Mus musculus: one gene and its partners. The protein of the gene in region 5 purifies or fractionates together with the protein of the main gene of each other region. This does not show direct contact. Links are inferred from orthologs where the notes say so. Each region holds a gene or a part of one and is shown on either strand. Other genes may lie near its edges.

Region 1 (4,279 bases), on a different chromosome or scaffold from region 5:
GGGCTGCTTCCTCAAAGCCGCTGAGCAGTGTTCAAACAGGACAGCTGCTGGCGGACAGTTCGGCCAGATGCTAAAGAAGGGCTGTTGGGCTGAGTCATGGGACTGAGGCAGCCAGGTAACGGAGAAAGATCTGTCAGTTTGGGAGTCAAATTGACCTTTCCTCCAGAATAAAATCCGGTCACTCACATTAACAGTTTTCTGATAGTACTTAACTTTGCCCTGCTCTTCAGTCCCATATTCTTGGGAAACGTTGTGTCATTTTATCTGAACCATTTGGACTGATTTGTGAGCCCCAGCCTATTCTCCTCCCAGGCTCTCCAGCTTTAGTCTTAAAGAAGTGGCCTCTAAGATGGACTGAGTCTTCAAGGCTCAGGGTCTACCAGACCCCTCTTGGGATGAAGCAGAAGGTTTCTGAAGTGAAAGGCGCAAATGCATACACACCTGATTAACAGGCTGTTTCCTGCCCTGAATCACTGACAGCCCAGGCTCAGGGCATGTGGCTGTGGAGGTCAGTAGTTGAGCAGAGGTGGGGGATCTTGTCTCTGTATTGTTCAGTATGCATCCGAACAGTCTTTACTTTGTTCTGTGTAAATGAACAAGATTCTTCTCCCTGTGTGCACATGCAGGTACTTTAAAGCACTCTCAGAACTGACCTCTTTTTTCTCATGTGTACACACACGCCTGCTTTTTTTCAGTGCGCAGACATTAACATAGGTTTCCATATGTTTGCACAGAGGGTTCTCTTCTGTATATATGTTCAGGCGTGCACACACGACTGATACTCCATGTACACACACGTGTATACAGTCAGACTCTGCATATCCACAGGTGTGCACACACATGATCCTTTCCCTACGTGTGCATGCAGGTATGGCACACACCACATTCTTTTCACCGTTGGCGCGCGTGGTACACGCGCACACACAGAGCCAAACACGTGGCCCTCTACTCCCTGCGCATGCACACAGATATGCATACAGTTGGCCCTTGGTGTACACACACACACACATACACACACACACACACACACACACACACACACACACACACACACACAGAGGCGCGCACACACGTGGCCTCTCTCCGAGCGCACATGGAGACGCGCGCAGCGCTGTTCGGCGTCGGCGGTCTCCAGCCGGGTCCCGCCGCACGCGCACGCGCGCGCAGGCCCCGCCCCTCTCCCAGGGCGGGTAGCACCGGCGAGAGGCGCGGGAGATGAGCGGCGGGAGGAGGAGGAGGAGGAGGAGGGCGCCGAAGGCGCGAAAAGGCGCGCAGGCGCGCTGCGCGCAGCGGGCCCGCCGCCGCCCACGTCACCGCGCCGCGCGCACGTCACGCCGGCCCGACGCTCGGCCCAGGGTGAGCCCGCGTCCCGGCGCCGCTGGCTCAGGGCAGGGACCGCCAGGGCCGGACCTCCGGGCCGGCGCCTCCGCGCCCCCGTCGTCCGCCCCGCGCGCCCCGCCGGCCAGCCAGGTGTGGCGGGGGCACCGGCCGGTCGCGGCGGGAGGGCGCAGGCTGGGCGCGCGGCCCCGTTCCCGCCCCAGCCCGGTTCCCGCGTCCGGTCGCATCCCGCCCGCCGCCCAGCCTCAGCTGGAGTCGGCCTCGACGCGGCGTGGCGTGGGCGGCGGGCAGGGGTCCTGGCCACCCTCCGGCTCTGTCCGCGCCAGGGCGCGGGGCTGGTGGCTGGGCCTAGTGACAGGTGGGGCGAGCGGGCGGGCGGCCGGGAGCCCACCTGTCAGAGTGGTCGGCGGCCCCTCGGGGTCTTGGGCAGCCCGGGGTGGGGGGTGCCCGCCGCGGCCCGGGCGGAGCCACGCAGTGTCGTGTGCCCAAGTGGGGGGCCTTGTGCCTCGGCGGGGCCTGTGGTCAGGCGGGGCCCGCGTGCCCAGGTGGGGTGAGCCTGACGGCTGCGCGTCGCTCAGCCAAGGGTCCGGGGTCTGGCCCCGCTGCCGGTGGGAGCTGCTGGTGCCCGCAGGGAGCATTTCCATTTAGAGAGGTGACTTAAAATCCCCGTGTGGGACCTGCTTGGCTAGCTCTCCTGTCGGGATTGTGCAAGAAAGGCCCCTGCTGCCTGGAGGCCTGCCTCTGCCTCGTGCTGGTGGGGAGATGTTTCCTTTGAAATGCGATGTGCGTTAAATTTCTTCTCATTCTCATTCATTATTCATCCCCTCCCTTTTTTTCTTTTCTTTCTTTCTTTCTTTTTTTTTTTTTTTTAACCAGATAAGTACGGTTTCTTCTGTGGAGGGTACGCAGTTAAAGCCTTGATTTCCTGGATCTGGTAACATGGCAAAAGATGTAAGTATGGTCGCTGCATGCTGCAGACATGTTGGCACAGCTCGTTGCAGTTTTCTCCCTTTATTTGAGAGTGGCCATACGTGTGTGGCAGTGGGTTGGCCAAGACATTTTACAGGCAGGAGCTGGGATGGAGATGAGGGATGATGGCGAGAGTCGTTAGGTGGGTGTCTCCCCTCTGCACAAATGGTCTTTGTCATCCGAAGCGTGACACGTTTTTTTTTTCTTTTTTGTTTTTTTTTTCGTGGTTTGATGATGATGTCTTGATTTTTTTTTCTTTATCTAAACTGCTTAAATAAAATAAAAAAATTAATACATCTCTCAGTTATGAGTGTGTGAGAGGGTGTTGTTTGTTAGTGGGTTTCCACACAGGAGAGCTGTCAACATGGAACTTACACTGTACTAGTTTTATGTAGTACGTAAGACCGTAATCCAGCTTTGATGGATTGAATCCCAACTACTTGTTTGGGCACATTTTTCTCAGAAAGATGACATTTGGTGATTAATGAAACACCGTGGAAATGCTGGTTGGTTTAGCTTCATATTTATCACGAAGCTACCGAGCGTTTTGAAGTTTTTTTGGGAAACAGGTATGGACAATTAGGTTTTAAGGCTGTAAATACAGTCTGTATTGTTGGTCACATACATACATTTTTGCAGTATTGCTTTAACTCCCTCCAACACTGATCGTGTCCGTTCCAGTGTTCCTCAGTGTCCACTGTTCTGTGACTGTTAGATTCATGCCTTTTCTGTGCAGCCCTGGAAATGCAGGCAGACATGCCGCATCAGCTAGAGTTGTGCCCAGGTGTAGCGGAACCGTGGTGCAGGTGCGGAGTCCTGTCCTGACTGGCCCGCATGGAACAGACCCTCTTCTGGTCATCGAGCACCGGACCTGCTCCTGGGGGCCGGGGGGGGGGGGGGGTCATGTCTCACCCTGAGAGACCTTGTGTAGGTCACCTGAAGTCACAACTACATATGGCACTGGCTTGATCTCGTTATATCTGTTGTCTATGTACATCCATGTCCTGACTCCGTCCCCACGAGTGCCCTAATGAGAGACATGCCACCCAGCGCATGCCTACAAAGTAGCTAGATTTGGTGAATGGGTGTAAACGGGGTGCTGGCTCCCGTGCCTTTGTGAGGCCACATGGCATGGTGTAGTTTCACTGAGTCAGCATACTCAAGCCCAGTCATCTTAGTTTGTCATTATACACTCCTGTGTGCAGTGTCCCCTGGGGAGGCAAGTGGTCAGGAGCTCCTGTCCGGCTGCCGGTTTGGGGTTAGCCATTGTGGTGTGGCTAGGCCAGTGCTGTGACTGGGTATCAGAATGCTGCAGCTTAGTCCCCCAACAAGTGCGCACAGACATAGGCAGAGGTGAAGTGGCGCTCCCTGTTTTCTTGCAGACAGTCAAGGGTTGGGTCTTCTCTGTAGCCAACTGTGTTTTTAAGTAGGATGTGATGTTTGGGTTCGGAAAGGGACTTTGTAACTTATGCTGAAGGGAAAGAAAGAGGCACCATTGAAGTGTTCTAAGCACTTGATGCTTAAGTGAAATCTGGTTGTAAAGGGTCCTGTAGACATGTGGCTCTGAAGGCCATGACACTGGTGAGAACAGACAAAAGTCACGCTTGAGGTCACAGAAGAGGGGCAGGAAGGGCAGACAGAAGACAAATAACTTAGGGTTTTTCTGCCCCTGCTGGTGCCCAGGCAGACCAGCAGGTAAGTTGGGCTCACTGTGAACCGGGGCTGTGAAGCCGGGCAGGCAGTTGTCAGTGGACAGGATGGGGATGGCAGGAGCTGGCACGGAGCAGTGGAGTGGGGGTGAGTGCCTGCAGATACTCTGGGGCGCACCTGCAGTGCTTTCCTGTGGTACTGTAGACTGTCCGAGTGTGGGAAGAGCATGTGGCCAGGGTGAGCCATGATCACCCTGCCTTGAAAGCTAGAGGGGCTTGGTTTGGGCGTCTTCTCCCAAGGTCGGTGCTGGCACTCCCTGCCT
Region 2 (4,227 bases), on a different chromosome or scaffold from region 5:
TTAGGTTTGGTTTCCAGTCCGGTTAGCTAGGCAGATACGGAGATGTTATTCTTACCATCCCATGCTCCACTCCATCCAGGGCTCCTGGCATAGGTCTGTTAGACACACAGATTCGTCTGAACTGTTTCTGTGCCTTTAGCAGGAGATTCCAGGCCAATGTCAGTCTTCTCACACTCTTGTAGCTATGGCAACCACACACTCTCCATTCTCAAGCTTCAGTTGCTTAGTCCCTCCCTCTGCACAGGTTCCCCACGCGTTATATTTGATATTCCCAGACTGGAAGATGAGGCTGCACAGGTCATAGCCACCTCCAAGAGTCTAAGACCATGTGAGTTAGACAGTGAAGTGAGAGGTGCAGACCTGGCTCCAGGTTCTCCTTCTGTCCCTGTGTCCTCCTCTCTGGGTGTTTTCCCCGTTAGTGACAGGAGTAGAGGTGGTCCAACAGGAAAGAGGGCTGTCAAAACTTTGCTAACTGCAGGCCGGCCAGCCTGCTAGGGGCTGTCTTGTGAAAATGAGATAAAGCCTTTAAAATGGAGCTCCAGAGCCACACAGGAGCCAGATTGTAGTGGATGCTGTGGCTGCCTGGAATGTGAACTGCCTGAGCCTACATTCAGGTGCAACTGCATCGTTCCAGATGCATGCATAGCTGGAGGACTTGGAGCCCCTGTGTTAGGGACACTTGCCTTTCCTGTCCACATTCTTTCTTGTTTGTCTTCTAAGTCAGGTAGCTCCTCTCTTGTCAGCGTGCAGGCTTCCTTCTCTACAGTAGTGCCCTGCCTTCCCTGGACACTACTGTAGATCTCTCCCTGCAGCGGTAGCTCCTAAGACCTTTTTCGGAGTGTGTCTGTGTGGGGTGGTGGTGGTGGTACAGCGTAGCCTCCTTATGGCCCTGTAGAAGAGAGGCAAGTATGTTCAATTTGAGCTGTGGTTTGCAGCGGCAGGAAGCCCCCCGCCTTGCGGTAGGCTGGGGAGGCCGCAGGAGCTCCGGACTTCCGGACCTCGTGGACATCCACCAGTGGCACCAAGAGGTTTCCCAACAGTCCTGGGCAGGCACGGGCCAGCACAGGCAAATTGTAACTGTTAGCTTGGCTACACAGCCTAGAATAACAGGAGAGGCACCTAAGCACGTTCTCACCCATCTTTAATTCTAGAGTGCTCCAGTCTGCAGTTACCGAACACCAGTAGCGGTCAAATAGGAAGCGAGAACCACAGACGGCCCCTTTAAGGCGCTCCGCCTCCTCTAGTTTTTCTGACCCTCGTCGCCGCCCGTTGTCCCGCCCCTCGCGCACGCGCAATCCCTCCCGCCTCCCGCGCCGCTGCCGCCTAGTCCAGCAGATCGTCTGCTCTCGCGCGTAGGGCTAGCCGACGCGACGCCAGAGCGCCCGGCCCCGCCGCCGCGGCCCCGGCAGGTAAGCGAGAAACCCGGTCCCGCGGGCGCGAGGCGAGCGGCGGCCACGAGGGCCCTCGGGCTCCGGGCTCCACAGCGCCGCACGTGTTCCGAGGGCCTCGGGCCGGGCCGGACGCCGCATTTGCGGCCGCGCCCCGACCCCGCCGCCCCTTGTGGCCGCCACGGCCCGCTACTTCCACTGCGGCCCCTGCTACGCCCCTAGACCCTTAGTCCTGCGAGCTTCTCGAGACTCACACCTCAGACTGGCGTCACTGGGAGTGGAATTCTCTGTCTCATCGGGGACACCCAGCCAGCGTCGCGCAGGTTTCCTTGGCCACTTGGCGCCTCTCGTGCTGCGGGCACAACCCTCATTTGTGTCCTAGCGCAAGTTTCTACCTGACTAGGGCTGACCGGTCAAGGGTTTCTGAACATTGTCCGGGACAGCCGGGCAGTTGAGCGCACAGTGGTGTGAAGCCAAGGCTACTAGTACCTAGGTATCTAGGAGCCCAGAGAGGATGGGTTGGAGTTCTTTGTTGGGTTACCTACTGCACTCACCTGAGTGACTGAACCATTCTGTCTTCCCATACTTGTGTACTAGGGTGGAAACCAGGAGTCTACATTTGACTGGAGGGAGACTGATGGCTGCTGCCCTTCCATAGTCAGGCTCACTCTAGTGTAAAGCCCCGGCTGCGGCTGCCGGTTACCTACCTCCTTTGTGGGCAGTGGAGGCCAGCTCCAAACCACCTGCTGAGGATCCTGCTTAACCCAGCTTCCTCCCAGACCTGCCCTCCCCAAGTCCTGCTTTCCTGAGTGCTCTGTCTTGGACTCTACCCTGTGGAATTGGAAAGTGGTGGTCTCCTTTGAGCCGGTTTCAGGTTGATGCTAGCCTCACATTTAACTGCTTTGAATTCCTGAGCCTCCTGAATGCTGTGAGGCAGATTGGCTAATGTTGATATTCTTTCTTTCTTTCTTTCTTTCTTTCTTTCTTTCTTCCCCGTTTTTGTTTTTGTTTTTTGGTTGGTTGTTTGGGGCCCACATCCTTAGAGCTCTTCATCCTTAGAGCTGGAATTAAAGTGGGTGGTGCTACAACTAGTGTCTTCAGATGTTAATATTTGTCTTCCTGAAAGACCCAGCTTATTAACGATGTGATGGGCAGGGCTGGGTGGTGGTGTGCTTGTTGGCAAGGTCATCCACCTGCTGTTAGGTGAATCTCTTTATATGCTAAAAGAAGCTTAGTTCCTAGAGACTTCCCACACTGGAGATAGATCTGCCCTACACTGTTGGCCTTTCATTTCACTGGAGTAGGGAGATGAGATGCTGGTTGAAAGAGACTTTCTAGCCCTTTTCATTACTTAAGTCTCAGCTCCTGTTGCTACCTGTATGGTCCACAAAAGTGGTTGCTATGGGAACTCATGGCCATAGTTGCATTAAGAATAAGCACCAGGTCAGGCCTGGTAGTTGATTTATGCCTGTTACACCAACCATACCAAGCTTGAGACTGGTTTTTTAATACCAGTGCATAGCAAGACCCTGTCTCCAAAAAGCTAAAAGCACCAAGCAGCTGGTATTTCCTGGGCACAAGAGCTTTGTTTGTGGAGAGGCCCCTGGGACCTACCCTAGTCTGATCCTTGCACCTGGGCTTGAGCTACAGCGGATTTGACCTTGATGGAGATGGCTGCAGGTAAAACAGCTTGGCTGCACCTGTGTGGTGCATGGTGTTCCTGTTCTTTCCTCTAGGATTGAAGACTTTGAGGCATTGTTCTCTTTTGGTGTCCTTTCATCTTAGTCTTATGTGGGGGTCCATGTGAGGTTTCAGGTTTAACCTCAAAGCCAGACTTTACATTATGATTGCTCCTTACATTGATGGCTGAGGAATGTCTCAGTAGCTCTCCGTTAGAGGAGTACTAGCTCATTTCCCAGTCAGGTGGTGTGCTTTTCTGGATGCGTGCAGGTGATGGGCCCTCCTGTAAACTGCAGTAAACTGTTGCAGTTGCATACATGTTCAGGCTGAGTCTGTCCAGCTGACTGGAATAACTACTTTCCCTCAGACCTGCAGCTTATCTGCTGTTGTTTGTGCTGCTCCCCCAGAGGTTTCTTTCACATGGGGGCAGTGACTACTCTGTTTTATTCTTGGAGCGCTTTCGGTAGTACTTTGTGCACTGAGTCCCTGTGCTCTGTAAGCTCTAGGTATTGTTAAAGGCATGTTGCAGTTTATGAGGTCACAGGGAGCCACTGAGGAGGTGAGGCCACTGTGTTTCGTCAAATTATTTGGGTGTATTTTAGAATTTGGGTAAGTTCACAGACTTGTGCACAGAAAGTCTACCTCCTGTTACTTGGCCTGTTGTTTCTGTTAGAAAGCCTTTTAAATACTGTGTCAAGGGCTCTTTGAAGCAAACTCACATCCCTGTATACACCTGTCTGCTACAGTGGGAAGCCTAGGCCATCACACAGAGTGTCTGAAGCGTCAGCCCTGGGATAGGGTGACAGTTATCCCCAGCTTGGGACAGTTGATTTGTTGGAGGGTTCAATGTGGTGGTCGTGTTTCTCCTTTTTATTCTTTTATTTATTTATTTATTTATTTATTTATTATATGTAAGTACACCGTAGCTGTCTTCAGACGCACCAGAAGAGGGTATCAGATCTCATTACGGGTGGTTGTGAGCCACCATATGGTTGCTGGGATTTGAACTTCGGACCTTTGGAAGAGCAGTCAGGTGCTCTTACCCACTGAGCCATCTCACCAGCCCCCCTTTTTATTCTTTTTCTTGGGAATCTTTCTATTTTTATGTTTTAAAGATTTATTTTACATTTATAAGTACAGTATAGTTGTCTTCAGATAC
Region 3 (3,778 bases), on a different chromosome or scaffold from region 5:
GTCATGATAGATCACCAACAAAAAAAGGTACCAATCCAGCCAGGCAGCACCAAACCTTTGCTGAAGGCTTAGGGAAGATCTAAACCTCGTCAAATAGCATTGTGGTATCAGTAGACACGATGCTGTCTATGCTGTCTGTAGACCATGCTGATTCCTTTTGTAGACTGATTACTCTGACTTCTCTAGTCTCCTGTATTATTAGTTTCTACCAGGAACGTGTGTACATGCTAACCATGACTATAGTTTCTGGTTTTATTTTAGTTCTAGAGTTGACAGGGCTTTAGGAAGAAACTACAACAGTGGTTTCTACGTCACTTCTTCATGATCATTCCAGTCCAACTAGCCCTAAGAGATACACTTGGGGCCCTCCAACTCTGGCTGTCACAGCCAGTGTTAGCTTAATAACCAGTTAGAGCAGTGTGCAGTGCTTCTGCCTGGAGGGAGCCATACATGTCCTTCAGTGTTGCCTGGAGCTCATGTTAACAGCCGTGAGTGATGGGGGAGTGTGTTCCATATGTAAGTAGCATGGAGGCAGAAACAAGGTTGAGTTCTGATGATCTGGAGAGAGTAAAAGACCAGGGTAACTTAAAGGGAAAAACTCGGAAACATTCCAAGTGCTCCAGAAATGACCTCATCTGCAGTTCTTGAAGTGTAGTCTTCCATGGGTACACTCCTACTCTATGTGATCAAGTACCTGTTATAGATACGTGCTGTGGCCTCACCACAGGCATGGGCATGTCCAAGGGCATCTTTCATGGTCTGTTTCCTCTTGTCTTTCTTATAGCTCCGACTGATTGATTGGGGTCTGGCAGAGTTCTATCATCCTGCTCAGGAGTACAATGTTCGAGTGGCCTCGAGGTACTTCAAGGGACCAGAGCTCCTTGTGGACTATCAGGTGAGCGTGTCAGTGAAGCTGCTCTGCTCTGCATTAATTTTATATTTTCTTAGGGATTTTCCTGGTTTGCTATGTAGTCGATGGATTCATACAAAACCCAGTTATTATTCTACTCTATAAAGCTTTTTCTCAACTACATTAAATTTTTTTTCATTATGTATGTATAAGCTTACTTGTACCACAGCCCACGTGTGAGGGTTAGAGGGGTTTGTTCTCTCCACCATGTTGGTTCTTGGCATAAGGATTAGGTTGTTGGGGTTGGCAGCCTTGGATACTTAGTCTACCAGCTGAGCCTCTTGCTGCCCTTTTTTTTTTTTTAAGGAAAGAATGACTTTTAGTTATAACTTCAGAAAGGCTAAGAATGGAACTTGCCTGATAAGTATAAGACCCTAGTGCCTTAGAAATACGGGCCAATCTTCAGGAGTCAGATGAGTACTAGAAACTCCATCAGTACAAAGAGTTTCTAGCCATCTTTGACTGATCGACCGTCCTTACTGCCTTCAGATGTATGATTATAGCTTGGACATGTGGAGCTTGGGCTGCATGTTAGCGAGCATGATATTCCGAAAGGAGCCATTCTTCCACGGGCAGGACAACTATGACCAGGTGAGCAGATTATGTTATAAATGCTAGAGATATAACATTTGAGCCATGAATGTCACTCACTATATATGGGCTACCATGTAAGCTGATGAGTTGTTCAGAATTGTGTCTGTGGTACAAAATCCCAAAGCATGCAGACATTTGCTGTCTATGCTGAACCTTCAAGATGGGTCTAAGAAATAAGGTATCTCTTTGTTGCAGTAAATCTCCAGCCCCAATATGTCCGAGCAAAAACCACACAACTCAGTTACAGCATTCACAAGCTGCACAGCTAGATTGGGCACATTTACCGCTACACTACTCTGTCGCCCATCTATGAGATCCCTTGTTACTTGCGGCTTCTCCAGGCCACGTGGTACTATTCCATCTTCCACCTCCTCTTCCTCTGTCTTTCTTTCCTCTTTCTTCTCTTCCTCCTCTCTAAAACCTCCAGCCCCACCTTTCCCTTCCACTGCCCAATCACAGGCTCTAGCCTTTATCTGACCAGTTAGAATGAGGAGAAGGTTCACATGAGATCACCTGAGCACATGATCCACTCCTTATTCGGGCAGCCCCTCTTGAGGAAGCAGAGTTAACATCAGAATACAAATAGCACCAGGGCAAGCCACAATGTTTCCCCCTTTTTGTACAATTAAAGGGCTCTCCCTTTTTTTTTTCCCCCTCGTATAAATTGAGTACAACTATTATGCAATTTAGAAAGTATAAGATATATTTAAAACCCAGTCTGTCATATTGTCAATTTAGATAAAACACTCTACCATCTATCCTAACTTTAAAAGCTTACAATTTTATATCTGAATTATATTCTGGTTTTAGCTTGTATTACCATCTGAAAATCATCCTCTCAAATCTGTATCATCTCTCTTAATGTTAAACAGTTTGAGTGCTATGAAACTATAACTAGTCTTCAACTCCATCAGAAATCCAAAAATGACTTAAATATTACCTGAAAATATAGGAAGCACAAGAGATAGCTTCCAAAATTTAAACATTTTGTAGAGACAGCTGACTACCTGGACAGTCCCTAATTCCTCAAAATGTTAGAGCTTCAGTCTCCAACATTTATACCTTAACTATTCTTAGTCATTTCTACTTGAGTAAATTAAAAACACTTTATTATAATTAAATCCGAATATATAATGAGCCTTCTGGCCCAGGATCATCTGACAGACTTTTGTAAAGCAGAATTGTGAAGGACTGCTTACCCTGTCTTGCTTGGCAGAGCTACCGGTCAACTATTTCACATAGTATGACCTTTTCCTGGACAGTATTTTTGTAGATGAATTGAGGCAATTTTTGCCTAGTGGTAATCTCTCCACGACTGGAGCAATTCTATTGATATTTAATTTTTTTCTTTGAACCAAGAAAGGGGTGTAGTCAGGAGCAGACTAGATTCTAGTCAAATGATCTTTAATAATGAAATGGCCTTAAATGTTGTATTCTGTGGACTTCTGTCCACAGAAGACTATCTGTCGGGGGCTGGAGAGATGGCTCAGTGGTTAAGAGCACTGACTGCACTTCCGAAGGTCCTGAGTTCTAATCCCAGCAACCACATGGTAGCTCACAACCATCCATAACAAAAGCTGACTCCTTCTTGAGTGTCTTTAAGACAGCTACAGTGTGCTTACATATAATAAATAAATCTTTTTTTAAAAAAGAAGACTGTCTATCTATTTAAAGTATATCTGAACTGTTATACCTTAACTATTCTTAGTCATTTCTATTTGAGTAAATTAAAAACACTTTATTATAATTAAATCAGAATATAATATAATCTAGCCCTTGACTTGTATTACTTAATCATCCTAAACACTGTTTTTACTCTTTTAAAGTTAAAAAAAGATTTATTTACTTATTTTAATACCTAAATACACTGTAGTTGTCTTCAGACACACCAGAAGAGGCCGTCAGATCTCGTTACGGATGGTTGTAAGGCACCATGTGGTTGCTGGGATTTGAGCTCAGGACCTTTGGAGGAGCAGTCAGTGTTCTTACCCGCTGAGCTGTCTCTCCAACCCCTAAACACTTTTTAACGGGAGTTATTAGAAGGACTGGGTCCAAGCCTTGTATTCTTAGAAGAGTTGTACAGGCACAATGCCTATCAAAGAGTAACAATAATAATTTTAAATCTTGTATCAATATAAGAAATTTAAATCTGTATTATTCTATAAATTGTATATCAATGTAAAATTTTAACTTCAAGTTGCATTAATTATAAAAATTTCTGCCAACGTAGGATATGGCTGTATAATTTTTTTTTTTGAAAATTTGATAACCTAT
Region 4 (3,778 bases), on a different chromosome or scaffold from region 5:
TAGGGGTCAGCACTGTCCCTGGTTGAAAAGACAGGGGGACTTTTTGCATAGCTGGTGCCTGAGCTGCAGGAAAACACACTCGACTCAAACTGAAGGAGGCTGGAATGGGCGCCGAGGTGGGGATAGCAGCTGGTGTGGCAGCCGGCATGGGCGTGGGGGCTGGAGTAAAGATTGGGGCTGGGGTGGGCGCAGGCACCGGTGTAGGAGCAAAGGCAGGAATAAGGGTGGGGGTAGAGGGTGGGCCAGAGGAAGGGGTCGGAGTGGGCATTGGTACAGATGGGGGGGCAGGAGCTGCTGGAGGTGTGGATGCTGGCATGGGAGCTAGAACTGGAGTTGGGACAGAAGCAAGGACCAAGGTGGGAGCCGAGGGAGGCACGGGAGCCTGGATCAGAGCCAAGGGAGGTGCGGACACAGAGACTGTGAGAGGGGTCGGAGCAGGAGCCGACAAGGGCACAGGGACCGAGTGGGGAGCAGACACTGGTACTGGCACCAAGACAGAGGCTGACACAGAGAGAGGGTTTGAATCAGAGATGAGAGTAGGCACCGAGGGCGCTGCTGGGGCTAGGGGAGGGGAAGGAGCTGAAGCCGATGTGGCAACTTGGACTGGAACTAGTCCTGAGTGGGGCACTGGAGCTGGGACAGAAAGGGGAACTTGGAATGGATCGGGAACCGAGGGGGTCCCAGAGGCCGATCCAGGGGCAGGAGGGCAGATAGGTGCCGGCAGCTGACTGAAGTTAGTGGTAACTAGAGGCAGGGTACCCTCCACAGGGACTCCAGTTCCCAGAGTTGCCAAAATGAAAGTGTTCTTCTCCCCAACACCGTGCCGAGAGTCCAAAGCCTTTACCCCGGCTGGCGAGCAGTCAACCTGTTTGCTCATTTGGGTGCTTAAGGGAGTCCAGGAGCAGTTGGCTCTGCTGTGGCTGGCCTCAGTGCTGTCAGGAGTGGGCAGCTTGAGCCCGTCTCCCGGGCTGCTCAGTGGCACCAGGAGGCCCTCAGCCTCTGCTGGATTCCCAACATAGTCCATTTTTGGCTGAGGGTCATCAGACTGATCTTCTGACCTGTGCCCAAGTTTTTCTGTGGTATTGCCATCTGGGTTTGTCCCCCGGGCATTGCTGCCACTTCCAACTGCCGTGAGCTCCACCTGCGACGAAAGAATAGCATGGCCATCTTAGCAAAGTCCTGGGAACTGATGCAGGTACCCTGAGGCCCCTGGGAAGTACCTGCTGGTCCTCTCGACAACTCAACCAACTGCAATGTACAGGGCATGCGCAGAGCCGTTTCTGTCTCACCTACAGCAACTTGTGTCTTCTTGCTCCCAGTCTCAGGAAGGCCAAACTAGGCACATGGTCCAAGAAGCTCACCCTTTGATGGGTAGCATGTGACAGCACATAGCTCCTTACCTTGGAAAAACTGCTGCTGACACAAAACTCCTGAGATCCAAAGTGCTGGCAGCCACCTGTCGTGGACTCCTCATCAGAAAGAGGTGCTCTTCTGGCAGGGAAGACACAGCAGAAAAGGGAGATAAGGCCCGGACTTAGAGCACTGACACTTCTAGAAGGTCTTGCCTGCCTAGCTTTCCAAACCCTCCTGTCTCACTTCCATGGTGACCTCAGGGGATGGCAGAAGACTAGGAGCTGAACCAGGCAAAGCGGAGCCGCCACACGCAACTTTGCAAGTTGCTGAAGAGGAGGAGCCTTGTCTGACCAGAATTTGGGGGCCACTTATTGTGCTTTCTAGTGTTCTCACCCAAAGTGCAGATGAACCCCACCTTAGCACCTTCTCCTTTCGCCTGGAGCTTAACCATCAAGTTGACCATTCACTCCAGGATATACAAGGCATTGCCCAAAAGGAGAGAGATGTAACCCAGAATCCTCAAGGGTACACAAATTAGTTTTATTTTAAATCCAATCTTGTTTCAAGTCTATATGGGAAGTGCCATTCAGGGTAAACCTCTTTGTAAGCAAATCTCCACTTCCACAGTGCTTTCCAATCTAGTCAAAATCTGAAGCGTTTGCTCCTCTATCGGGCAAGGCGGGCCTGAAGCCCAACCACACTCACATTTACAGCACTGATGTGAGGCCATCTGGTCACTGACACCGAGAGGCTCTTTAAAACTACGACATTTAGCTGAGCATGTGTCCTGTCTGTAATGTGAGTACTTAGGAAGTAGAGACAGGAAGGTAAGGAATTCAGTCATTTGGGCCACAGAAGATCCTGTCTCAAACAACAAGGAAAATGCAGTGGACTGGTGATGTGTGTCTTTAAATCCTGGCACCCAGGAGGCAGAAGCAGGTGGATCTCTTTGAGGTCAAGGCCAGCTTAGACTCAGCAAGCCTATACAGTAAGAGTAAGACCCCGTGTGTTACTTGAAAAACCAGCAAAACAAAGCAAACACTTCTTTTTTTCTCCAAAGGAGCATTTCTAGAAGTCAACCTGGCTCCACACAACATGCTCTCTTCTCACAGTACATGGGCGCACCTTCCTTTCAGCCTCTCTGCATCACCACATCCTCTCTCCTCCCAAAGGGAGCGCCTCAAAGCCACAGAACTCTGTATTTCTATTGGTATGTGCCATAAAGAAAGTCTAAAGGCCAGAAAGCTGGATCTCAAAGGAGAAAAATTCAACCGTAACCCCCTCCCCCAAACTGCTCAAGAAGAATTCTCTAAACTTCAGGTAAGAATCCTAAAACATGTGCCATTTGACAAAACGAACAAATAAAAGGATCACACGCTAAAGTAAAGTCGAAGGACAAGTGGTGGCTCCATACCGGCCGCTGGCCGCTTTAAGTGCAGCAGGAACCCGGCCCCTGTGCTCAGGAGCCATATCAATAGGGCAGCCGCCTGGGTGGGAGTGGCTGCAGAGGAGGTAGGGGGTCAAAGAACAAAGCTGCAGCAAGTTTTCTGGGTGGGCAAAGCACAGGGCTGCTCTGCCTGCTCTTTGTTTGGGTTTGCCTGCCATCTTTGGAGCCCTGCCAGAGATCCAATACAGCCCGTGAAGAAAAGTCAGCAGCGTCTGCCTTAGCGACCACACTCTAGTCTAAAGGGTATTTGGGGGTGCCTGCAGTCAACTCCAGCAAGGAGGAGCACCCCTGCAAATAACTCCCTCCCTCCGACTGAAACACAGACTTTCTAACTGTACCTGGGGCAAGAGAAGCAAGAATGGCAATGAGGATCGGAGCCGGCTCCAGAAGGGGCTAATCAAGGGGGAAAGGCTTGTCCCCTTTAACAAACAGCTAGGGTGGCAGAAGTGGGACAGTTCCACCACTGGAAATGACTGCTGGTAACACAGGACTGTGAGGCAAGGGCTTTGGACCGCAGTTAGGGGTCTTGAGGAAGAGGAGAGATGGAGGGCTACAGAGAAGGGAAAACACACTTTTCACATCAACTCCTGAGAGAGCAGAAAAGCAGGACCTATATGGAGCCAGCCTTGGGCTGGAGAAGCATGTTCCAACTAGACTCTCCAGGGATGGTTTAGGGGGAGGGCGCACCTCTCCCCTCCACAACTCCACATGGGAAGGCCCTATTTGTTTACATTCTTTCTCCTCCTGACCACGCTCCCTCCTGCTTGGTGGGCTCCTCCTTGGGCAGAAATTCTGCCCAGAAGAAGAAAGCAGAAGCTATATTCTCACAAGCCAGAGGTTAGCAGTGAAGCCTAGAGCCAGGCAGAGAGGCTGGTGGTGGCAGCAAAGGCAGCACTTCTGGCTACTCCAGCCATGCCTAAGCTGCAGCACCAGCCCCCCAAGCTCAGGGAGGAAAATGTGTGCGATGGTGTTTCAAAT
Region 5 (4,396 bases):
ATTCTGCAAAAATAAAGTAATACTAAGCACCCAAGCAAACCCCACATAAAACAATCTTTTAAATGCTTTTCCAAATTTCTAGTAACTCAGTGCCTTGTGCAAGTGCTCCATCTCTGAGCTGTATACTCCCACCCGTTCTGCTATAATTCATTTTGACTTTCTTTTCTCAGAAGCTTGAAGCCTATTTCCCTCTTAATTACCCCAATTAATATCATATTCCCAATGATAAAAAGGAGAGCATCCTCCAGTTTGGTTATTAACTCTTGTTTGGTAAGTAACACATCAATACAGTAGTCTCCCTTTTGCTGGAGTTTTGCTTTCCTGTTTCAATTACCCACAGACGATATAGTTCAAAATATTAAGGACTTCCTAAACAGTTAACTCCTCAAGTTTTTAGTTGCCATCTCACTCTGAGTATCATGATGAAAATTTGCTCCATCCTGCTCTGGCCCAGCTGGATACATTTTCTAAACAACCTTATAGTATCCCAGGAGCCACACAGTCAGATCAACTGTTAAGTACGCAGTGCCTGAACTGGGTCCCCTTCAGTTAGTTAAGCCTGATGCGGAGGCTACAACGCCTCCATCAGCACACCCAAATAAGGCAGAAGAAGGCAGGGCTCCGAGAAGGGATGGATTTCATCTCTCCTTTCTTCAGGGGCAGCTTTCCTGATGACGGTTCACCGACTTGGCATGCTAAAGTCGCCCCTCGATCAGAGGGATGTCAAGCTAACTCTGGTTGTGGGGTACCCGCCAGATCGGCGAGGTGGGAAGCAGAGCTTCAAGGACCAGCGAGATGGCTGTTTGGGTCTAGCAGGCGAGGTGTGTATCCCCGACAGGCTGGAGTAAGGAGACTCGGGGAGGTGGTGTCCAGGGCACAAGCAACCTCGTCTGCCTTACGTAGGCTCACGAGCGTCCGTTTTATAACAAGCCACTGCAGAGCCCCGTGAGGCCAGGAGGACGCCGCTGCAATTAAAACCGGATCAGACCCTGGTTTCGTCACGTTTGAATTATGTAAGCTAGAGCAGGGCACCGAACCTCTCCCGAGCCTCTGGGTCGCTTCCCCAGAAGGAAGGATGACAGTCCCCGCCGCGCCGGGCGCACGCGTGTCTGCGGGCGCCTGCCATCGCGCCCTTCGGGGCGTGCGAGCCACGGCCGGAGCGCTCCGGGGCAGCCAGCGGGCGGGCGAGCTGGAGGGAGGCGGCGCCGCGAACTCGCCGCCGGTGCTGGGCCGCGCTCCCCGCGTTTGAAGTCTCCGGCGCGGCCGCTGGTTGGCCGGCGCGGGTCACGTGCGCGCAGGCAGGAGTTTCCCCGACAGCTGGAGGCTGCGTGGGATCCGGCGGCGGCGGCGGCAGCGGCGGCGGCGACGGCGGCGGCGGCGGCTGCAGCTCGCGGCGCGGCCTTCCCCGCCCCCTCGCCTCCGCGCTTCCGCCGGCCCCTCACCCCGGCGCTGACAGACCGGCGCGCGTCGGCAGCGAGCATGGGCGACAAGAAGAGCCCCACCAGGTAGGGCGCCCGCCGGCGGAGCGCCCGCGGCCCGGGGTCCCGTGGCGTGGCGTGGAGCGGCGCGGCGCGGGGCGCGCGCGTGTGTGTGGGGAGAGGGGGTGCGGCGCGGCGCGGCGGGGCGCGCGGCTGCCCACAATGGGCCGCGATGGCGGCCGGGGTCAGCGGCCGCGCTCCCCTCCCCCGCGCGGCGCCGGGCGGGGCGGGGGTCGCGGGCCGGGCGGGGCGGGGCGCGGGGCCGGGCGCGGCCTGCGGCTGACCCCGCGCTGCGTCGTGTCCGGTTGTGTCCTGCAGGCCGAAGCGGCAGCCGAAGCCCGCCTCGGATGAGGGCTACTGGGACTGCAGTGTCTGCACCTTCCGGAACAGCGCCGAGGCCTTCAAGTGCATGATGTGCGATGTGCGGAAGGGCACCTCCACCCGGTGAGTCCGGCGCGCCCGTGGATCCCCCGCGGGGCCCCCCGCGCGACGCGGGACGGCGGGGCGGCCAGCCAGGCGGCGGCCGCGGTGGGGCGCGACCCGGCTGAGCCGCGGCTGGCGGCGAGGGCTCGGTGGCGGCGGCGGTGGCGCCTGCTGCGGAGGATGAATTATCCATGGGGGTCGCCGGCCGCTGCCGTGCCGTGCCGTTCCATGCGTGGCCGGTGCGGTGCCCCCTCCCCAGCCGGGCGCAGAGACCGTGATCGCTGGTCGCATTGTGGTGTTAGTGTGCGGGGAGGGGGCGGGGACGGGGAGCCGGGGCGGGGGAGGGGACGGAGGAAAGGCCGCGATGTCACTCGGTCCCCCTGGGGAAAAAGTATCGCTTGTAGGATCGTAATGGATTAAACTTTCTTAGTAACGGATGTCCGGAAAGGGTCAGGCCAAGGTTTCGCGTCTGGGTTTTTTTTTGTTGTTGTTCTATTTCTGTAATAATTTTTTACAGTTAAGTAGTTGGTTGGGAGGTGAACCCAGCAACGCAGTTTTACTCCAGTGCCTGGATATTTTTACACAAACGAGATGACATGATCTTTGTCTGTTGCCGGCCCTGGATTTGTTGTATGGTAGGCATATAGTATTATAATTGTCTTTCCAAAAAAAAAAAAAAAAACCATTTAAAAGAGTTAAATTTAGGAAATTCGAACTCAGTAGCATTCTTGATCTGTCTCCACTTGGTCATAGTTCCCTTGGGAAGGCCGCCTTTAAATCCACTTCTACAGTGATTTGTAGCAATATTTAAGTAAGGCATTTATTTTGCTGCTATGAAGCCTATTCAAATACAAATGATTACAGAATACGGGGAATTTTCTGTTTGAAACAGAGGGCCTGTATAATTTTGACATTCTAAATAGTCAAAGTTATTTCTAAAAATGATGTATCCTGTTTTTTTTTTAAAAACTCAGTTTATAGAATTTTACTAACATTGTAAGTGTAGAGACATGTCAGGATTTTATTGTTTCTACAATACTGGTTGTTTTTGACATACCTGTCATAAATCTCAATAGGTTTTTACTACGAATTCTCATTTACATTGAATACAATATTTTTAGTATTTCTTGGTGTCTATTAAAAAGCAAGGTTTTAAATCCCTTTTAAGTTCAAGGAAAGATTCTAAAAAGAGAAACTACTTGCTATTTCTGGACTCACGTTTTAAGTGTTTTGGAAAGCACGGTGTATATGTCTATATAAGGATGGAAACGGCTTAGTGTATAATATATGTGTATTTGTAAATGAGCAATATGGAGATCATTTGACTTGGGTTTTTTTTTTTTTTTTTTTTTTTTTTGCTTTTGTTTTTACTTGTATCCTCTCATACTTTTAGACGAACACTGGATTAGAAGAGCCTATTTGTTTATTTGCAGGGACAGCAAGGATGGGGGCAAGCTGGTGTGTCCTACTCCACAGCCAGTCTTGGGGTTAGAGGAGCCCCGAGAAGTAGAGTAGGTGGTGACACTCAGAAGAGAAGCACCAGGCTGAGTCCCTGACTCCTGGAAGAAGGAGGATTGTAGCACACAGGGGAGCTGGCCCACAACAGAAGTGGGCCTGCTTTAGAGAGGCCTGAGACCCACCTGCAGGCCCCTGGCTTTTTGTTTTTGTTTTTGTTTTTGTTTTTAACCAGTAGATCCAATTTTTAGTGGTGGAAACATTACTTGAGGAGGACTCAGAGAAGCATTGTCATTTGGATTGAAACTGAAGAGGCTCTGGGCCCCTCACCAGAAGTCTAAGGGACACCGTGTTCCTAAAAGTAGGTGCTCAGAACGGTGTCCCTCTGAGCTTCTTCCTCTCTCTCTCTCTGAATTGTCTCCTTTGACTTTACCCCTAAGTGAATGGCAGGAGTTGTAACTTCTCTGTTGTCTGTTACATTTCCCTTTGCTCCCCCCCTCCCCCCCCCCCCCCCCGCCCCGAGATCTGTGTTTGGATGGATCAGTAGAACATGGTCTTGTTAATAAGTAGATGCTGGTTACATGCACAGTGTTTGGATGGATCAGTAGAACATGGCCTTGTTAATAAGTAGATGCTGGTTACATGCACAGTGTTTCCTCTTAGGAGTGACAGGAAACCAGGTGAAGGACTGGGACACAGATGGAAGGCAAGAGTTGAGTGGTCGGGGGACATTGTTCCCCCAGTTGATGTGCCTGTTGGCAGATAGGATGGAAGGAGAGCAGGGAGGGGGCAGCTGCAGCACACAGGGACACAGCTTGCTAATGACTTGTTTGTGTGACCACAGCCAGCATTTGGATCCCTTGGGTCAGAACAACCTCTGAACTGAATCTGTTCTAGCTGCCAATCACGAAGGCAAGCCTAAGCTATTCTAGATGTCTGAAGCCTTTTCTTCTTTATGTGTATGTGCACACATGTACTGTGTACTTACATACGTGTATGTGCACACATGTACTGTGTACTTACATACGTGTATGTGCACA
Region 6 (4,559 bases), on a different chromosome or scaffold from region 5:
CCACCTCGAAACGGTATGAAGACTTCCAAAAGAAAGGAAAATCGCTAAACACGTCTACGCAGTGGTGAAAAAAGAAAACCAAACTAGTAAACCTAAAGCGTTGAAAGCAAAATCGTGGCGAGGAAGGAGACGGGAAAATGGCGGCCGCCAAATCCGGTTCCCGGGAGAGGGGGGAGGGGAAGCTTCGCAGACTCGCTCCGGGAAGCCGGGGGGGCCCCAGAAACGTTCCGCCGCGAACACAACCGAGCCCCTAGGCCCGCGCACATCGAAAGGCCAGCGATGGCCCGCTCACGCGCTACTTTAGCGGTCCAGCCCGGTCGCGGCGGGCACTTCCCATCCCCCACCCCAACTGAGGGAAATGGCGCCGGGCGGCTGAGGGCGGGGAAGGCGGTCGGACAATCAGAGGCCTCCTCCAACGACCCCTCAGAAACTCGCCAAGGCCAACCGCCACTCGAGTGGCCGCATCCCCTCCGCCGGACCACGGAGGCGGGTGGCCGGTTTCCATTGCGGTGCCTACGGCCTCGCCATGCCATTTTTAATAACTCATTGATTTCAAACCCGTTACCTCCATCGCGGACTCAGTCGCTTCAGCCCGATTTCCCGCAGCCGAGCGAGATGAGAAAGACCTCCGCGGACGGACGCGCACGGGACTCGTCCTGGCGCTGTGGGGAGAGCAGGCGATGGCCAAGAAACTGGGCCGCAAAGGAGCTCCTGCACACGGGACCGGCGCCGCTGCTACTGCCGCTGGAGCCGAGACCGCCGCTTTTCTAGAACCTTCCCCCCACTAACGCGTCTCCGCTTACGTCACGCCGTTACGTAAACGCCCTAACCGCCGCCAATGGCGGGAAGGGCCTACACTCTCCTTACGCCAAGTACGTGACACTCCCCCTTTAGGTACAGCGGGACTGCTTTACATCACTTGCGCAACTGTGTTCCGTGAATTGCGGAAGGCTCGCGCTCGGCGTGTTACTACGTCCGGAACTAGGTCCGGCCCCCACCTCCGCGTAGGGAGCGGAGAAACGGTCGCGCAGTTTGAAATAACGCCGTCGGGAGGGGCTTAGGCCGGCGCTGGGGCGTGCGGCCCTCTCCACCCAAGCGTGCTCTCTGCAGCTACGCCTTTGCCAAGCCCGTCCGCACAAATATTCTCGAACCACACAAATATTTCTACACGTCCCAAAGGGGTTCTCACTCGGTCCCTCCCAGAAGGACTTTTAGTCCAAGTACCACCCCGGATGCCACAAGCCTTGGGATCCCGCGCCTAGTGAGAGGTGGTGCTTAAAGAACCCCGCTGTTTATCTCCCCGGCCTTCAAGATCCGGGCAAGGAGGTGGGTGGAGCCCCGCTTTGGCGCGCTCCGAGACGCAGAGAGGCCTCCGCGGTCCTTCCTGCCCGCCTTCCCCCCCCTCCCCCCAGCCAGGAGACCCCCTGGGCGCCACGCCGCGGACGGTGAGCATTGCGCGCGCCGCCCCCCGCAGGACGCGTTCCCGGCGGGCCCCGCGCGGCCAGGGCGTGGGCGGTGCTCCCCCTCCCCCCCGGCGGAGCTGCCCGCGCCCCCTCCCCTCGGATGTGGCTGAACCGAAGCGCGCAGGCGGGAGACTCTGCAGGATCCGCGGCCCTGAGCATCGGAGCGGTGAAGTTCGTGCCTTTGCTTTTTTTCGATCTTGCGTGTGGTGGGGTTTAGGATGCTCCGTGCGTCCGAGCTTGCGGGGAGGCTGCGAGCCCCGTGGGCCGCGGGCTGCGGGAAACCGGCTGGGGCCTCGCTGAGGCGGGCGCCGCGCCGGTGCGTGGGGGAGATGGGACAATTGTGCATGAGGGTGGGAGCCGGATGACAGCTACCGAGACTCCAGACAAAGCGCGGGCCTCCCCTCCCCCAGCCTCGTCGCAGGCCCGCAGGGAGAGAGCGGTTCAGGCTCTGCAGCTGCGAGGCCCGAGGCTCCGGGCTGCGGCGCGCTCCCGGCTACGTGGCCGCCGCCGGATGGGGGAGGCGCGGGCCCGTGGCGCAGTGCCCTTGAGCCCCCGCCGCCGCCTTTGTTTCTCCCCGCGGAGGCGCTGACCACGAGGCCCGCGCTCTCGGGTGGGGGACGGGCTCCCGACCGGGGAATGGAGCTGGGAAGGAGCCCTCCTCGGAGGGGAGCGTGAAGGAGGTCGACTCCTTCTATCCTTATCAGGACAGTACTTGGGAGCTTGAGGCTGGGGATTGCCAGGCGTTGAAGCCCAGACTGGACTATAGAGAGTGATTACCGCACCACCACCCCCGGAAAAAAAAAGCCAGAAAATAGGACTGGGACATCTTAATGTGTTCCTTTTTTTATACCGTGATTGAACAGGGAGGGCCTCTGAAAAAATAAGGATGGAATTATATGAGCTCCTTGGAGTATTCAGAAATCTAAAGAAAAAGATCTTATGGTAATTTGCTAACAAAAGATAGTCATTTCCTTTCATCCAAAATAAACACTAAAATTGTTAAAATTCTATATGGATTGGGAAAGTAACAATCCTCACCATGTAAAGTTGTCTGAGGTACCAGTGTTTTAGTAAGATTATTTTCACTAACATACTGAAATTATTAGTAACATACTAATAACACGGGAACTCAACTGTTTTCCTGCATTTTTACCCGAAATTTACATGTTGAAATCCACACAAAACTTGTAGCTGCCTTTTGTGTGTCATGAAATTTTAACTGTCCTACATTTTTTTTCTTGCAATAGCTCTTCAAGTCTCCGATTAAATTTAAAAAATGGCCTCCAATAAAACTACATTGGTAAGTTTGTGAAAACCTAGAACATAAGAATCTTAACTGAAGGATTTTTTTTTTTCTTTAAAATTACAATTAAGAAACCATGTGGTGGTGGATCTCTGAGTTCGAGACCAGCCTGGTCTGCAGTGTGAATTCCAGAATAGTCAGAGCTACACAGAAAAACCCTCTCTGGGCGTGTGGGTGGGGGAGCTAGAACCTGTGGTGGACATGGTTGTGCCTTCCTTTAATCCCATCATAAGTGGGTGAATTGCTGTTAGAAGCCAGCCTACCTAAGTCCTTGTATTTACCAGCATTCTAAAGAAAAAGGAATTAACACTAAGTAAGGCTTTTCTTAAGGAGGATCACAATACATTTTTTTGAAAAAGCGTTGTACAGTTTTTGCTGGATGCTTTTGAGGTAAAAAATGCATGTTTGTGGGTTATAAAACAGCTCAATCTTCAGAGCCCAAGGAAAAGTGGAAAGAAAAAACAAGTTTCTACCAGAGTGTGCCTTGATTTCCACACAGGAGCTCCATCATATTGTTAATGAGCTGAATGGGGGAAGAGTCGTGGACAGCTCTATAAAAGTCTTGTGGGTTGGCATGATTACCCTGGAAGCTGTGCTGTTCTGGAGACACTGAGCATTCATTAGTGCACAGAGAGTGAGTTAGATAGAGCTCACGTTGCCATGAGCAAGAATTACAAACTGTCTAGGAGTGATCTAAGACTGTTAGATCAATTCTGTTTCTTTTCAGCGATTTCTGACTGTTGCTAAATCCAGTGTTAGTTTTCTTGGGATTTCTAGTAAGTTAGACAAATTTATTTTTGTCAAGTTATATTTAAAATAAATAAAACTGGGTCAGCCAGGCAGTGGTAGCCCACAACTTTAATCCCAGTACTCCAAGACAGAGGCTGGTAGATAGATCTACACAGCGAGTCCACGGACACCCAGGGCTACACAGAGAAACCAAAAACGGAGGGAGGAAAAAAAAATGGGTCTGAAGGTGTATGTTTGTGATCCAGCCTGTGAGAAGCTGAAGCAAGCAGATTGCCTTGAGTTTGAGGCTAGCCTGGATTCCAAAATTCTGGGTAGTCGGGGCTGCATCCAAGACCCTGTCTAGAAAAAGATTCATGTCAAAAGAGTGAAATTTACAGTTGTGGTTTCTACATTAATTAGGACACATTGATCTCAATCATATGGAGGTGTGCATTAACAAAACATGGGTTTTTATCCTTGAATTTCTGACCAAAATGAGCAAGAGGGTATTTCTATCTCATATAGTGCATGACTTCAACTGGTCTGCAAAGTGGACTAGATTCTGTGATCAGAAGCCCTGATGGTCACTCTTAGATGACCCAATACAGTGATAAGCATGAATCATCTGGTAAACTGTGGAGATGCTGTGAGTGTGGGTATGGCCCTGGATGCTGATGGACTGAGTATCCTGGTTCTGAGGTGCTGCTGGTGATTTTTTTTTTCCTGCGTGATCCTTCACTTGGTGATGGTTAGAGGGACTAGGCATTTGATAGGGGGTTATTTTTGTGATTCCTTTAAAAAATTTTTAAGTAGCATCTGTAGTTACACATGGTGGTGCATACCTATAATTCCAGCACTGGGAGAAGCTGAATCAGGAAAAATCACTGCAAGTTAAAGACTAGACTGGGCTACTGTCTCAAAAATGTTAAAGGGTGCATAGCACTGTTGTGGAGGTGAAATGCTTGGGCATATAAATAGTGGGTTATTTTGGTATCCCATGGGGACTTCTAAATAACCATCTCAAGGTTTTTAAAAGCACTTCTTTAACAAATCCATCCACCCCT
Region 7 (3,705 bases), on a different chromosome or scaffold from region 5:
TCTTAGAGTTCCATTTTCCCTTCTAACTAGCAGTTAATTGGGTGAACAAAATCAAGATGTGTTTCTGCCTCAGGACAAGAATTAGCTTAGCAAGCTGGTTTTTGGATGGTGGCCTGTGCCCATAATCACAGCTCTTATGAAACACAAGACAAGAATTTTGTGAGTTGGAGGCTAACCATGGCCTCCATAGGAAGATCCTGATTCTGTCCAATCCTAGGGCTGGTAATGTACTTGCTTATACTTTGTATAGGCAAGTTCCTGGGTTCAGTCTCCTCCACTGCTCTCCCAGTCCAAAAAAAGAAAAGAGTTATTTTGTAGAGATTTTCTAAAAATGTAATTAAGTGGAACTATTGCTAATAATGAAATACCTAAGTGTCTTGACTAGATTTTACTTGACTTATTGCTATTTCAGCTGTTATTCTGTTATTTTGTCCTTTTTTTCTTTTTCCCTCCCTCCCTTCCTTCCTTCCTTCCTTCCTTCCTTCCTTCCTTCCTTCCTTCCTTCCTTCCTTCCTTCCTTTCTTTCTTTCTTTCTTTCTTTCTTTTTTTTTTTTTTCCAGAGCTGAGGACCAAACCCAGGGCCTTGCGCTTGCAGGCAAGAGCTCTACCACTGAGCTATAGCCCCAACCCCTCAGCTGTTATTCTGACAAAAGTGGACTAAGATAGACTGGGAAGGAGAGAGAGAAAAAGAGATTTTCATTACTGCATCTAATGAACTCTCTCTTTAATTTTTGATTTTCAGAGAATGATGACTTATTTATGATGCCACGAATTGTCAATGTGACATCATTGGCTGCAGAGGAAGATTTGGGAGGTATGAGTGGCAACAAATACCGTCACGAAGTTCCTGATGGCAAGCCACTTGACCACCTGAGAGACATTGCTGGGAGTGAAGCCAGCTCCTTAAAAGATACAGAGAGAATCTCTTCCAGAGGAAACCATCGAGATAGCAGAAAGGCACTGGGTCCAACACAGGTGCTTTTGGCAAATAAAGATTCTGGGTTTCCACATGTAGCTGATGTTTCCACTATGCAGGCAGCACAGGAATTTATACCTAAAAATATGTCTGGTGATGTGAGAGGGCATCGGTATAAATGGAAGGAGTGTGAGTTGAGAGGAGAGAGACTAAAGTCAAAGGAGTCTCAGTTTCATAAATTAAAGATGAAAGATCTGAAGGACTCAAGCATAGAGATGGAACTGAGGAAAGTAGCCTCGGCTATCGAGGAAGCAGCCCTCCATCCCAGTGAGCTGCTGACTAACATGGAAGATGAGGATGACACTGATGAGACTCTGACTTCACTGCTCAATGAAATTGCTTTTCTTAATCAACAGCTAAATGATGACTCTGGCCTAGCTGAACTGTCAGGTTCTATGGATACAGAATTCTCAGGAGATGCTCAGCGAGCTTTTATCAGTAAACTTGCTCCTGGGAACAGATCAGCTTTCCAAGTTGGACACTTGGGAGCAGGTGTGAAAGAGTTGCCTGATGTCCAAGAGGAGAGTGAATCCATCAGCCCCCTCCTCTTGCACTTGGAAGATGATGACTTTTCTGAGAATGAAAAACAGCTTGGGGACACAGCCTCTGAGCCAGATGTCCTTAAGATTGTTATTGACCCTGAAATAAAGGATTCTCTTGTTTCCCATAGGAAATCTAGTGATGGAGGGCAGAGTACTTCTGGTCTCCCCGCAGAGCCTGAAAGTGTATCTTCACCTCCCATCTTACACATGAAGACTGGCCCGGAGAACAGCAACACAGATACTTTGTGGAGGCCTATGCCAAAGTTGGCCCCATTAGGTTTAAAAGTAGCTAATCCCCCCAGTGATGCCGATGGTCAGAGTCTCAAGGTGATGCCTGCCTTGGCACCTATAGCTGCCAAAGTTGGGTCAATTGGACACAAAATGAATTTAGCAGGAATTGACCAGGAAGGCCGGGGGAGCAAGGTGATGCCTACATTGGCACCTGTTGTACCTAAATTGGGCAACTCTGGAGCTCCATCAAGTTCATCAGGGAAATGAGCTTGTTCATCCTCATACAAAAGCCAGGCTGTGAGGGGAAATGAATTTCACCTCCTTTCTCTGTAGGCGTCTGTTTGTTTGTATTATGGAACTATTATCCTTGACTTAATTATGTGTGAATATTGATGGAGAAAGGAGGTGTAGGGTGCTGGTCCTGGTGTTTGAAATTCTGATCATGTTAAAAATGTGTTACCTCACTTGTGGTGCTGGGTCCCCTCATCTTCTCTAAGAAGGTGTGATTCCCTCTTGCCCAAGGAATTCATAACAAGATTCTGGCTCCATCAACTACCTTATTATTTTCCCCTGAGAAAATGCTTGAGACTTGGAATTACTATAGACTAAAGTATAAGTCATAGTTGTTGGCTCCAAAATCTGAGAATTATGATACAGTTGTGTGGGAAAAAAAAAAAAAAAGAACTTTTAGTTACTATTTCAATAGTAGGGCATGGTAGGACTGGGCATGGTAGTGCACACTTGTAATTCCAGCACTTAGAAGACTAAAGCAGAAGGATTGCAAGTTTGTGTCTACCCTGGCCTATCAAGGGGACAGACACACACACACACATACACACTTGTGGGGGCCAGGGGAGTAGGAAGAGAGAATGTTATAGTAGGTAGGATGAATATTATGGAATACCAAAGTGAAGGGATTTTGTCATTCAGCAGACTGTTTCATATCCAGAATAGTTCTTCCCTTACCCTTTCAGTCATAATTAAAAACCTAAGCTTTCTGGTAAAGTAGGAATATACTTTTTACTTTTACTATTAACATACTTATTTTCAGAGACTAAAAAAGACATACTTCTCCCTTATTTCTTGGGGTATCACAAAGATTCATTCATAATACCAGAGATTTCTACTCATTGTTTTTTGGAAGTAGACATAGAGGCAGCCCTTCCCTTTCCCAAATCATGTCACTCAAGAAACAGCTAAAATGAAAAGCAGTTTCTCCCCTAACCAGAGACCGTAGCCAAAATAAAAATTTGTGGGGCTGGGTATTTCCCAAATGAAACCAGCCTCTAGGTGCTTGAAGGTTTTGTTCACTGTCACCTGCACAGGATGTAAAGAAAAGGCGAGTCAGAGTGAGCAATCTTTACCAGGGAAGTAAGGCAGTATTTGAGTCACAAAGTATATTTTTTATCTGCTATCATGGCATCAATGATCTGTAGAGCTTTTTCACTCATTGGCTGTCAGGGTATGAAGGACTGACAACCTGTAAAGATGAAGATATTTATATTTTTGTATAGTTGTTTTCATAGATTTCTCAAAGGATGAAGTTTTCGACCTAGAAGAGATTTGTATTGAGTATAGAAATGTTTCCTATCTAGTTTGTAAATAATCATGGTGCATTTGAGGGGTCTCTCGGGAACTCGTGAGGCAAGAATCACTGTTCTGAAAATGTATAGACTGAGATGTAGCTGCTGCATTTGCCTTTCTTAAATAATTATATTTTGGAATGTAACCCGTTCTGTCTTCAATGACAGGATTTGCTTGTGTTGTAAAAACACTTTAACACAAGTGCTTCCGGTGCCTGGGCTGTGCCTGGGTGATTGTATTTCTTTTACACTACTGCGTCTTTATCCTAAGTCCCACTCTGTATCCTCTGACCTAGGTTGTGAGACCAACTTTGGAATGAATCTAGCCAGTGAATTACTTCTATGTTTGATTTCCTTTTTAGATTAACTCTGA

The links.
Region 1: the proteins of Yaf2 (region 5) and Tfdp1 purify together in Homo sapiens (affinity purification with mass spectrometry; 3 studies listed by BioGRID and IntAct, counting the BioPlex papers as one, with this or other methods). This does not show direct contact. The link is inferred for Mus musculus from reciprocal best matches to the Homo sapiens genes YAF2 and TFDP1.
Region 2: the proteins of Yaf2 (region 5) and Wdr5 purify together in Homo sapiens (affinity purification with mass spectrometry; 4 studies listed by BioGRID and IntAct, counting the BioPlex papers as one, with this or other methods). This does not show direct contact. The link is inferred for Mus musculus from reciprocal best matches to the Homo sapiens genes YAF2 and WDR5.
Region 3: the proteins of Yaf2 (region 5) and Csnk2a2 purify together in Homo sapiens (affinity purification with mass spectrometry; 9 studies listed by BioGRID and IntAct, counting the BioPlex papers as one, with this or other methods). This does not show direct contact. The link is inferred for Mus musculus from reciprocal best matches to the Homo sapiens genes YAF2 and CSNK2A2.
Region 4: the proteins of Yaf2 (region 5) and Bcorl1 purify together in Homo sapiens (affinity purification with mass spectrometry; 5 studies listed by BioGRID and IntAct, counting the BioPlex papers as one, with this or other methods). This does not show direct contact. The link is inferred for Mus musculus from reciprocal best matches to the Homo sapiens genes YAF2 and BCORL1.
Region 6: the proteins of Yaf2 (region 5) and Cbx3 purify together in Homo sapiens (affinity purification with mass spectrometry; 4 studies listed by BioGRID and IntAct, with this or other methods). This does not show direct contact. The link is inferred for Mus musculus from reciprocal best matches to the Homo sapiens genes YAF2 and CBX3.
Region 7: the proteins of Yaf2 (region 5) and Mga purify together in Homo sapiens (affinity purification with mass spectrometry; 5 studies listed by BioGRID and IntAct, counting the BioPlex papers as one, with this or other methods). This does not show direct contact. The link is inferred for Mus musculus from reciprocal best matches to the Homo sapiens genes YAF2 and MGA.

The regions. Positions count from the first base shown.
Region 1 is NC_000074.6:13,337,451-13,341,729, forward strand, and holds the start of Tfdp1 (transcription factor Dp-1), read left to right. Parts: upstream 1-1,300; 5' UTR 1,301-1,356; exon of another isoform or gene 1,357-1,470; intron 1,471-1,491; exon of another isoform or gene 1,492-1,990; intron 1,991-2,214; 5' UTR 2,215-2,277; coding exon 2,278-2,289; intron 2,290-4,279. UniProt on the Homo sapiens protein: Can stimulate E2F-dependent transcription.
Region 2 is NC_000068.7:27,513,872-27,518,098, forward strand, and holds the start of Wdr5 (WD repeat-containing protein 5), read left to right. Parts: upstream 1-1,275; 5' UTR 1,276-1,409; intron 1,410-1,434; exon of another isoform or gene 1,435-1,881; intron 1,882-4,227.
Region 3 is NC_000074.6:95,457,795-95,461,572, reverse strand, and holds part of Csnk2a2 (casein kinase II subunit alpha'), read left to right. Parts: coding exon 1-27; intron 28-784; coding exon 785-895; intron 896-1,399; coding exon 1,400-1,501; intron 1,502-3,778.
Region 4 is NC_000086.7:48,365,132-48,368,909, reverse strand, and holds part of Bcorl1 (BCL-6 corepressor-like protein 1), read right to left. Parts: intron 1,492-3,778; coding exon 1,401-1,491; intron 1,142-1,400; coding exon 1-1,141. UniProt on the Homo sapiens protein: Transcriptional corepressor. May specifically inhibit gene expression when recruited to promoter regions by sequence-specific DNA-binding proteins such as BCL6.
Region 5 is NC_000081.6:93,333,866-93,338,261, reverse strand, and holds the start of Yaf2 (YY1-associated factor 2), read left to right. Parts: upstream 1-1,326; 5' UTR 1,327-1,479; coding exon 1,480-1,505; intron 1,506-1,796; coding exon 1,797-1,922; intron 1,923-4,396. UniProt on the Homo sapiens protein: Binds to MYC and inhibits MYC-mediated transactivation. Also binds to MYCN and enhances MYCN-dependent transcriptional activation. Increases calpain 2-mediated proteolysis of YY1 in vitro.
Region 6 is NC_000072.6:51,469,106-51,473,664, forward strand, and holds the start of Cbx3 (chromobox protein homolog 3), read left to right. Parts: upstream 1-1,510; 5' UTR 1,511-1,634; intron 1,635-2,146; exon of another isoform or gene 2,147-2,405; intron 2,406-2,710; 5' UTR 2,711-2,739; coding exon 2,740-2,763; intron 2,764-4,559. Other genes in the region: Hnrnpa2b1 (heterogeneous nuclear ribonucleoproteins A2/B1), read right to left, coding at 566-571.
Region 7 is NC_000068.7:119,962,950-119,966,654, forward strand, and holds part of Mga (MAX gene-associated protein), read left to right. Parts: intron 1-742; coding exon 743-2,016; 3' UTR 2,017-3,705. UniProt on the Homo sapiens protein: Functions as a dual-specificity transcription factor, regulating the expression of both MAX-network and T-box family target genes. Functions as a repressor or an activator.